3 linked regions of the Macaca mulatta genome follow. The protein of the gene in region 3 binds, or shares a complex with, the protein of the main gene of each other region. Links are inferred from orthologs where the notes say so. Each region holds a gene or a part of one and is shown on either strand. Other genes may lie near its edges. The genes, in order: TERT, GAR1 and NHP2.

The links.
Region 1: NHP2 (region 3) and TERT share a complex: the UniProt entries of both Homo sapiens proteins name them as parts of the telomerase holoenzyme complex. The link is inferred for Macaca mulatta from reciprocal best matches to the Homo sapiens genes NHP2 and TERT.
Region 2: NHP2 (region 3) and GAR1 share a complex: the UniProt entries of both Homo sapiens proteins name them as parts of the H/ACA small nucleolar ribonucleoprotein (H/ACA snoRNP) complex. The link is inferred for Macaca mulatta from reciprocal best matches to the Homo sapiens genes NHP2 and GAR1.

The regions. Positions count from the first base shown.
Region 1 is NC_133411.1:2,405,947-2,409,596, forward strand, and holds part of TERT (telomerase reverse transcriptase), read right to left. Parts: intron 1,853-3,650; coding exon 1,657-1,852; intron 1-1,656. UniProt on the Homo sapiens protein: Telomerase is a ribonucleoprotein enzyme essential for the replication of chromosome termini in most eukaryotes. Active in progenitor and cancer cells. Inactive, or very low activity, in normal somatic cells.
Region 2 is NC_133410.1:119,117,207-119,121,469, forward strand, and holds the start of GAR1 (H/ACA ribonucleoprotein complex subunit 1), read left to right. Parts: upstream 1-1,439; 5' UTR 1,440-1,669; exon of another isoform or gene 1,670-1,714; intron 1,715-1,724; exon of another isoform or gene 1,725-1,917; intron 1,918-2,068; 5' UTR 2,069-2,080; coding exon 2,081-2,294; intron 2,295-3,862; coding exon 3,863-4,017; intron 4,018-4,263. UniProt on the Homo sapiens protein: Required for ribosome biogenesis and telomere maintenance. Part of the H/ACA small nucleolar ribonucleoprotein (H/ACA snoRNP) complex, which catalyzes pseudouridylation of rRNA.
Region 3 is NC_133411.1:186,966,775-186,969,054, forward strand, and holds the end of NHP2 (H/ACA ribonucleoprotein complex subunit 2), read right to left. Parts: intron 2,093-2,280; coding exon 1,987-2,092; intron 1,666-1,986; exon of another isoform or gene 1,496-1,665; intron 1,395-1,495; exon of another isoform or gene 928-1,394; coding exon 802-927; 3' UTR 552-801; downstream 1-551. UniProt on the Homo sapiens protein: Required for ribosome biogenesis and telomere maintenance. Part of the H/ACA small nucleolar ribonucleoprotein (H/ACA snoRNP) complex, which catalyzes pseudouridylation of rRNA.

The sequences.
Region 1 (3,650 bases), about 180 Mb from region 3:
GCCAAGGAGCAGAACCAGCTCCCGTGAGCCCACCAGCTCCCTGACACCTCTGCCCTTTGGTGTTTTCTCCCAAAACCACCCATGGGGGAGTGGGGGGCTGGAGTGGCCACACCTGGACCTGGGCATCTGCGGATGACGGCCTAGTGCTCTATGGTCGCTGGGCCCGAGGGTGCTCCGGGGCTGGTGCCCTGACCCCAGGCCGCAGGCCCAGCCGAGCACAGGAGAGGCACAGTACCCTGTCCAGGGAGGAGGGGCCTCCGAGGCCCCTCAGGCAGAACATCAGCTCCAGCCGTGACAAGGAGCGACTTGGGGACCACCACGTCTGTCTGCTCCTTCCTGTCACCCCAATTAAATTCTTCCCAAAACACTGGTCAAATGACCACGTTGGGTCACACACCATTCACTATGTGCAATGTCTAAGTAGGGCACATTGTGTATTAACTCGTTCCCACAAGGAAAGCCCTGACTCTCCCCCAGATACAGGAGGAAACGGCCCCAGCCCCACGTCGGGGTCCCCAGCCCAGAGGCCGTGTTACCTCTGATGAGGTCTGCTGCCAGCTTCCTCTGCAGACATCCTGATTTGGGGCATGGGGTGTGAGAAGCCCCCCAGGGACTCGAGTGTGCAGAGGAGCCGGGGAAGCCCTGACCTTGTGACTAAAGAGTCCTCACCGAGCCCTCCAGTCAGCCTGGGTGGGACACAGAGAAGCTAATATCATGGCCTGGGCTCAGCCAGGCTGATGTCTCCCAGCCCAGCACTCCAGTCCCTCACTGACGCAAATCCAGCTTGAATCTGCCACAATCCCTCACACTCTTATCAGCTGAACACTGCAGACAAAATCTCGCAGCCATTCAAACGCAGCCACCTAGAAGTTAGCTCATGATGGACATCTCCTACCCCGGGTGCTCCCCACACAGGTGCTCCCCACAGTGAGTCACCAAGAGGGTGGGATTTTATCCTCTCGTGACCTAAATCCAGCAGATTAAAGATTCATGCAGACCAGCATGAATTAAAAGACAATCGGGGGCCAGGCACAGTGGCTCAGCCTATAAACCAAGCATTCTGGGAGGCCAAGGTGGGTGGATCACCTGAGGTCAGGAGTTCGAGACCAGCCTGGCCAACATGGCAAAAGCCCATCTCTATTAAAAATACAAAAATTAGCCAGGCGTGGTGGCAGGTGCCTGTAATCCCAGCTACTTAGGAGGCTGAGGCTGGAGAATCGCTTAAACCCGGGAGGTGGAAGTTGCAGTGAGTGAAGATTATGGCACTGCACTCTAGCCTGGGCAACAGAGCAAGTCTCCATCTCAAAAAACAAAAAAAAAAAAAAAAAGAGAAAGAGAGAATCGGATCCACATCCCGAGGAGGGGCAAGGAGGCTGGTGGTAGTGTTTCCATCCAATATAAACCGCTTCTGCTTTACAGACCCCAGAGACCACTTGGCATAAACTCCTGATTTCACAAGTAACAGAAAGTGAGCTCCGGGCAATCAGAGCCCAGCACAGAATCCACTCGGGCCAGGCCTGTGATGGGGGCCCTGGCTCCCAGCCCAGAGCCGCACAGCCAGGGAAGCACCGGCGCCGGGACGACAGGCGCACGCTGAGGCCGGGGCTGGTGCTGCAGGACTTCGAGAAGCAGGGGACCAGCGTGGGGGTACACTACCTGATTCCAATGCTTTGCAACTTGCTCCAGACACTCTTCCGGTAGAAAAAGAGCCTGTTCTTCTGAAACGTGGTCTCCGTGACATAAAAAAAAGACCTGAGCAGCTCGACCACATACACACTCATCAGCCAGTGCAGGAACTTGGCCAGGATCTCCTCCCGCAGGCGGTGCTCCGCGGCCGGCACACAGCCCACCCCTGAAACGAGAAGGACACCGCACATCCAGCTCACCGCAGGGCTGGCGACCTCATCGCAGACCTGCACCATCTGGTACGACAGCCATGGCCACGGGGAGCCCAGCAGGTCCAGGCTGAGATGGCCGCACACGGGACCCACACACGGGATCCCGCAGATCAAGCACAAAAAATGTCACATGTCCTGTGAGTGACGCTCCCACCAATGACACCCTAAATGATGAGCTGTGGACGTGCTGGGCTTCAGTAAAATTATTATTACGTTAATTTCACCTTTTCTTTTTTACTTTTTTAATGTGGCTGCTAGAATTTTTTTTTCTTTTTCTCTATTTTTTTTTTTTTTTTGAGACAGTCTCCCTCTGTTGCCAGGCTGGAGTGCAGTGGCGCAATGTCAGCTCACTGCAACTTCCAACTCCCTGGTTCAAGCGATTCTCCTACCTCAGCCTCCCAGGTGGCTGGGATTACAGGCACCCACCACCATGCCCGGCTAATTTTTGTGTTTTTAGTAGAGATGGGGTTTCACCATGTTGGCCAGGTTGGTCTCGATCTCCTGACCTTGTGATCCATCCGCCTGGGCCTTCCAAAGTGCTGGGATTACAGGCGTGAGCCACCGCGCCCAGCCTAGACATTTAAAAATGATCCACGTGGCTCATGTCATGCTCCTGTTGGATGACAATGGCTCGGAGCCTCATCCTTTGTCCTGGTCCCTAAGCAGAAGGGAGGAGGCAGACACTTCCCCGCCAGGCAGCACATCGGGGCTGGCACCAGACCGTAGGTTTGTGTGATTTCAAACTCGTCACCACGGAGCCCAGATCCCAACGTGCCTGGGGTTTTCCAGGCTGAACCCAGGCCGAGCGGACGCTGCTGTCACCCACTGGCTAAGGAACGCCGGCCACGTGGTGCTCCAGACACTCACGGGCCAAGATGACCGCCCTTCTCGTGAGTCTCCACATCTTCATCTGTGCATAAGCAGAGGTCCCCGGACGTCACTAGAAGCCATGGAGGCCACAGTGCAGGTAAAGCTGGGGTTTACCAGCAATAACAAGACAGAAGAACCAGGCAAAGGACAAGGAAGGGGACCCCAGAAGGCAGGCCTGAGACAAAAGACAGACAGGGAACAGAGGAGGAAAAGCAGGGCAGGGACAAAGCTAAAGAAACACCGAACACGGAAAACAATATTAATAATGGTTACCTTGTGGGTGTGTCAAGATACCCAAGATAGAACTAAGTCAGCAGGGAAAATAGCACATAGGCTGGGGGTGGTGACCAGAGTTAAAATATACTTAAGGCTCTTACTGCTCAGGACAAGGGTAGCAATGTTTCAGACTTCATTTTAAAAGATCAGGGTAGGCCGGGCGCGGTGGCTCACGCCTGTAATCCCAGCACTGTGGGAGGCCGAGGCAGGCAGATCACTTGAGTCAGGAGTTTGAGACAAGCCTGGCCAACATGGTGAAACCTCATCTCTACTAAAAATACAAAAATTAGCCAGGTGTGGTGGCGGGCACCTGTAATCCCAGCTACTCATGAGGTTGAGGAATGAGAACTGCTTGAACCCAGGAGGCAGAGGTTGCAGTGAGCCGAGGTTGCGCCATTGCACTCCAGCCTGGGTGACAGAGTGAGACTCTGTCTCAAAAAACAAAAGCAAACAATGACAATGAAAAGATCAGGGGGTAACACTAAGCAAAGGGAAATAAAAGCAAATGCCCAGTGACCAGGAGGCAACGACAGGATCCACACACACTTGGCAGGAAATGCACACAGCAACCCAAGAGGTAGTGAGAAACAAGGGAACGAGGACACG
Region 2 (4,263 bases), on a different chromosome or scaffold from region 3:
CTTCTTGTTCAAGCAAGCTTTTTCTAAGTTTTAAGAGTAAAGACAGAAATCATCTCATTTCAGTTGAAAATGAAATCTGTATGTGACAATCTTAAGTTCAATTCAGAACTGAGCCAATACACAGCAAAAGACAAGCAAAGGTTTCACACTAAATAGGTAATTTTCATTTTTTGTTTCAAAAATAATACACTTACACGTATATAGGCCCATAAAAAGATCAACATTCGTTAAAATCAAATTGCATCATTTACTAAACTAAAAGAAAAAGAAAAAGTAAAGTTTCTTCTCTCACTTATTTTGTTTGTTTGTTTTGAGACCAAGTCTTGCTCTGTCGTCTGGGCTGGAGTGCAGTGGCGTGATCTCGGCTCACTGCAACCTCCGCCTCCCCGGTTCAAGCGATTCTCTTGCCTCAGCCTCCCGAGTAGCTGCGATTACAGGTGTGCGCCACCATGCCCGGCTAATTTTTGTATTTTTAGTAGAGAAGGGGTTTCACCGTATTGGCCAGGCTGGTCTCGAACTCCTGACCTCAAGTGATCCATCCGCCTCGGCCTCCCAAAGTGCTGGGATTACAGGCGTGAGCCACCGCACCCCGCCTACAAAGGTATTTTAAAATCCCCCTTACAATAACCCTCTCAGTTAGATAGGTACCAAGTTCCACCCTCTTCTAAACACGATGTCAATATCAAGGTAAGGTCTCAGAGGGTTTGGTTGTAAAAGGCTCCAGCCAAATTTAATAAATGGGAAGTGACTACCTTTATTTGTGAGAGAAGCTTTGGAGAATGTGGAGGAAGCAGATGTCAAATATAAGGGGCTTAAGACGAGAAGGAGAGGAGCCTCCAGCACAGTCCGCTTCACATCCTGTCGGTGCTCAAAACATACTTGAATGAATACCCGGTACAAAAGATAAAAATGATGGTTTGGTTTTCTATAAGACACCATAGTTTCTTTAAAATTACACAAACACATGCATTGCTTTTTTCCCTCTAATTAGTGAGACCATAGCGCAAAAGAACAAGCACAGCTGAGCGCTCAGTGGTGCGAAAATCAAAAGGTCGGGAAGAAACAAGAAACTCAGACAAACGCTTCCGCCGGCTGTGACAGGTTCTGAGGCGACCAGATCCACTGGACATAGCGCGGCTCAGATACCTCAGAGACCTGTCCACACAGTTGCTGAAGTTAGCAACAAACTATTGAGCGCTGTTGGGCACCATTTAGTCTGAGAAGCAAATGCGCCCAGCCAGTCGGCACGGACTTCAAAAACTAACCTTGTTTCTTGCAAGGTGCTGGCAGTTGTTCTGGCAGTCAGGGCGGGAACCAAACAGAAACCCACCCCGCCTCTGGAAGAGAAGGCGGATCCCTAACGCCAGCTATCTCCAAGAGCAACATTGCCGCAGCACTTCCGGGACGTCGTGCTGCGAAGGACGCAGCTATTATACGTCACTTCCACGGCGCGGCGTTAGGCAAGTTGACCTCTCTGTTGTAAATTAGTGGTTAAGGTTAGATATTATTGCCACTTTTCCAAAGCTAAAGGCTGTTTTGGAACCAGTGTCGCTGGTTCCGCGCGTGACTACCTTTTTTTTGCAAACCAGTTATTCCAGTTTCTGGTCTAAAAAACTCTGTGGCTGTACGGTAGCCGAGGAGGTTCCAGCGCGGCGGAAGTACCCAGTAGGTGGGTGTGCGCGTAAGGCCAGGGCCAGAGGGGCACGTGGCGCCGGTGAGTGACCGTAGAAGCCGGAGGATTTGAAAATGGTGGACGCGGAACCCAGCTGCCGGAGGGAGGGAGGAAGGAAGGGGATGCAGTGCGAAGACCTTGCTGTCTGAAGGGGGAGGAGGTACTAATCCTGGGGCGGCAAGGCTGGTATGTTTGGTCGGTCGGCGCTCAGGAGACCATGAGGAAGTAAACTCTTCACCCATCAGGTTGGTGGTCACTGGCTGTCTGACCGTGGGTGAGGTGACAGGGCTGCTTTTGTCCCCTTTATGGTGTTCTCACCGCGGCTCCGAGGGGTTGGAGTGTACTCAGATGCTACAGTGATCAGAAGACACGGGTCGTTTTTTTTTTTTTCACCAGGGAGGAGAGAGAATGTCTTTTCGAGGCGGAGGTCGTGGAGGCTTTAATCGAGGTGGTGGAGGTGGCGGCTTCAACCGAGGCGGCAGCAGCAACCACTTCCGAGGTGGAAGCGGCGGTGGAGGCGGCGGCAATTTCAGAGGCGGCGGCAGGGGAGGATTTGGACGAGGGGGTGGCCGCGGAGGCTTTAACAAAGGCCAAGACCAAGGACCTCCAGAACGTGTAGTGTGTATGCAGTCTTCAATATTTAGCCTATTTGAAGGAATAGGGGTGGGTTGTGGGTTTGTGTTATTAGTCCAGCAAGTTTGGGATACACAAGCCTGTGTGGAGAATGATGTAAACTGACATAATCGTACAGTAGCATGTAAGGGTGGGGTGGGGAGATCAAGAAAGCTGAGGGATACTTAAAATGCATCATGGAAGTGGAACTTCAGGGTTGACAGGAAGATATTAAATAGGTAATAGTGAGTACTTATCCCTAATTCCCCGATTTTACAGATGAGAAAACTATGATTTAGAGTTAAGTTTTTATAGCTGAAATATAAGTATAGCTGAAATACAGGCTGGGTGCCGTGGCTCACGCTTGTAATCCCAACACTTGGGAAGCTGAGACAGGAGGATCACTTGAATCCGGGAGTTAGACACCAGCCTGGACAATAAAGCAAGGACCCTGTCTGTACAGAAAAAGAAATACAAAGCCAAGTATTCTGACTCCAAAGCCCATGCTTTCCATTACTACTTAAAAGTAGATAAGTGAGAAAACAATTTGCTTGAGAGGGAAACTGCCAAAGAGGAAGTCGAGAAAAAGACCCATTTAGGATAGTTTTATAGTAATTAATAATGAGATGGGAATGGAAGTCACAGAGAGTGAAACTTACTACATTAAAGAGGAGAGAGGGTGAAGAGTGTCTAAGAATGGTTGGATGAGTATGCAGGATGGTTTGAAAGGAGCAGTTTCTAGAATAAAAGGTCCCAGCCTGCAAGCTGTTGTACCAGTCCATACACGAGGCATTGAGAGCCTGATTCAGGATGGTGAGGAAAAAAAGGAAGGGTTAGATAGGAGAGAGATTTCAAAGGAAACAAAATCGGTAGAACTTAGCTAATGCTGATAATAAAGGGTTCCAGGTTTTGCGCTTGGGTGATAGGAATGAAGAGTTGGTTTTGCAGGAATGTGTTAATTATTTTAGTTTAGGGGGACAGTCTAGTTAGTTAGAACTAAAGGTAGTTATTTTGAGATTCCAAATGTCCTTGAAAACAATGAATCATTGTTAAAGAGGTGGTAGTGGGAATAGGAAAGTTCTGAGGCAAGAGAAAAAAAAAAGAACAAAGGGTAATTCTTTTAGGGGTTGAAGAAAAGGGAGTGAAGAAAAGGAATAACCAAGAGAATGAAGCAGAGTTTTGAATCAGATAATAAATTTTAATAAGATAACTGTTACATGTGGAATGGTCTCAATGTGCCAGGCACTGTTTTAAGCACTTGAAATTGGTTATTCCATTGAGTCCTTACATTACTGTATATTAGGTATAGCTGTACATTATATGTTACTAGTGTCTACTAAAGAGGAAACACTGAATTAGAGAAAGGGTGGGTAACTTCTCCTAGGTTACATAGCTAGTGTGTTGTGGAGTTGGTATACCAGCCCAGGAAGTCCACACTCTTAATGACTGTGGTCTTCTGCCTCAGAGGAGAGCAGGTATGGTGAAGTCCCAGGTAGCCAGGAAGAAAGCTTCCAGAAGAAGTTGGTCAGTATCGTTTGAAATAGTTCTGTGTTTTAATATTTTCTTGTCCTATTTCAGTATTAGGAGAGTTCCTGCATCCCTGTGAAGATGACATAGTTTGTAAATGTACCACAGATGAAAATAAGGTGCCTTATTTCAATGCTCCTGTTTACTTAGAAAACAAAGAACAAATTGGAAAAGTGGATGAAATATTTGGACAACTTAGAGATTTTGTATCCTTTTTCATTGGAAGACCTAATAATATTCAAAGGTTGCTATTTGTATTTTTGTGAGGAGGCGGTTAAGTGTAAATTAGACTTGTTGCTTCATTAAATTAGACAGGATTGCTACAGATTGGACCATGAAGGAGAATCAAGGGGAGAATGTATTCATCCATAGATATTAAAATGACAGACCCTAGAAAGGTGACTGTTTTTGGAAAATTCTAGAAATGGCCATTTGGATAAGTACTACAAGAT
Region 3 (2,280 bases):
TGTGAGTTTACTCCAGGGTGCCTGAACTTGGTTGCTGTGTATACTGAGTCCTGTGCAGGGCCTCTGACAGCAGTAAGAGGCCCCAAGTCTAAAATGTTTGAAGGGATTGGGTTACTAAGGCCATTATGTTAAGCAAGAGAGATAGCCTGGGGGGATGCATTTTAGCTTCATATTCCTATTTAAAATTTGCTGTGTGGGTGGATAAATCGCTTCCATAAGCTTCACAGTGGCATTTAAGGCTCCTGGGGGAAAGTTAAGAATGGGGGTGTTCCTGATGTGGGGGCTTTAGGCTTCCATGAAGTGGGTCTGGGCCCCCTGCCTTACCTCACAGCCCCCATCTACCCTGGAGGAGGGAGTTGAAAGCGCTGGGGTAGCAGCAGGATCAGTTCTCAGCTTGAGCCAAAGCATCTGGCCGGGGCAGCTGAGCATTAGCACAGAACCCTTTGAGTCCTTCGGGCTCTCTGGCGAGGAAAACCGCTTCACTCTTCCCGCCCACCAACTCGGCCCAACCAGCAGCTGCTGCTTAAGAAAACACCCACAGACTCACCACATTTTAGTCTTAGCATTTACTTTCCCCACCCCACTTTCTTGGAACAGCCTTTAGTTCTACAGGAAATGGCACTGATGGACAGAAGACTGGCATTACCTTCATGAAAGGGCTGTTAGAGCTGCCTGGGAAGAAGGCGAGCCTCGGGGAACTGGGAAGATGCAGTCAGTGTGTGTGGGCAGGAGGACAGCCAGTCATCCCGCCGCCAGCCCAGCAGCTCCCAGCGGCAGGTGCCCAGGTGCTCCCGGAGCCCCTCATAGGGGTAGGGGCAGGGACTGCACCTCCTCCAGACACTCGTCGTAGGCCTCCTGGTACTCCTCGTGGGGCTTGACCATTATCACACAGGTGGGGCGCTTGGAGCCTGCGGCTGCACCCAGGTCCTACAGAGAAGAAAGAAGTGCTGTTTGGAAAAAAGGCTGTGCAACCTGTATGCCAGGAAGTCACCAACTGATGACCCACCAGCCTAATCTGTCCCACAACCATGTTCTCTTCGGTCCATGTTCTATTTGAAAGCATCTTGAATTGGTTGCCATCATTTAAACTCAATCAGACTTTCAAGGCATGGTCTAGCCACACACAGCCTACATTCCCACATGACAGCTATGAAAGGGCTCCAGTCCAGCAGGGGCCGTCCCGGTCCCTGCCATCCCTCACTTCCTGTGCCTCAGATCTGGCCCCTGCTATGTAAGATAAGGACAGCTAGAGGTCCCCCTGAGCCTAAACCCACCTAACAGGACTAACATGGGTGAAGCATCTTAGCTTACAAAGCTTACTCACATACATCTGTCTCTTTTTATTCTCATAGTCCACAGAGAACTGACTTCGGTTCTTACTCTTAGGCCAAATGGTAAGTTCCTTCAGAACAGGGCCTCTCCCTGCTTTATCCCAACAAGTGATACTGTGGCTACCCAAGATCCACCCTCCAGCCTTTTTTTTTTTTTTCCCCAGACAGGGCCTCACTCTATCATGCAGTCTGGAGTGTGGTGGTGTATGATCATGGCTCACTGCAGCCTCGAACTCCTGGGCTCAAGTGATCCTCCCACTTTAGCCTCCCAAGTGGCTGGGACTACAGGCATGTGCCACTACACCCAGCTAATTAAAAAAATTTTTTTTTTGTAGAGATGGAGTCTCACTGTGTTGCGCAGGTTATTCCTGAACTACTGTCCTCAACTGATCCTCCTGTCTTGGCCTCCCAAAGCACTAGGATTACAGGTGTGAGCCACAGCGCCTGGGCTAGGATTCCCATTTTATAAGATGGGAACTGAAATGCAAGAGGTAACTCATCTGTAGTCACAAAACTAAGAAGACATGGAGCCGAGAATCCATCCAGGCCTGTCTTAGCTCCAACACTCCTGGCTCTGTCCTATACTCTTCTGCTACGGCAGACGATCCCAGACACCCCAGTGCTGAGCAAGGTCAGGGGGCCATGTGCTCCTTACCGTCTTTGAGGGGATATAGACATAGGGCAGATTTCGGTCCTCACACATGACTGGGAGATGGCAGTATACCTCAATGGGCAGTGTGTCTCCTGCCAAAACCATGATCCTGAAATGAGAGGAAACAGTCATTTCTGGCTTTGCTCCCTCCTTTCAGTTGTAAGTGCCGCCCTGGGCTGGGTCTTAGGGAGAGAGAGAAAACTCTGTTTGGTGAGTGCACTCTTCTGGGGTGATCTCTACCTCTTGGCAACATGTAAGTGCCATCAAAGTGAGGTAGTGCTCGGACAGGTGAAGTAC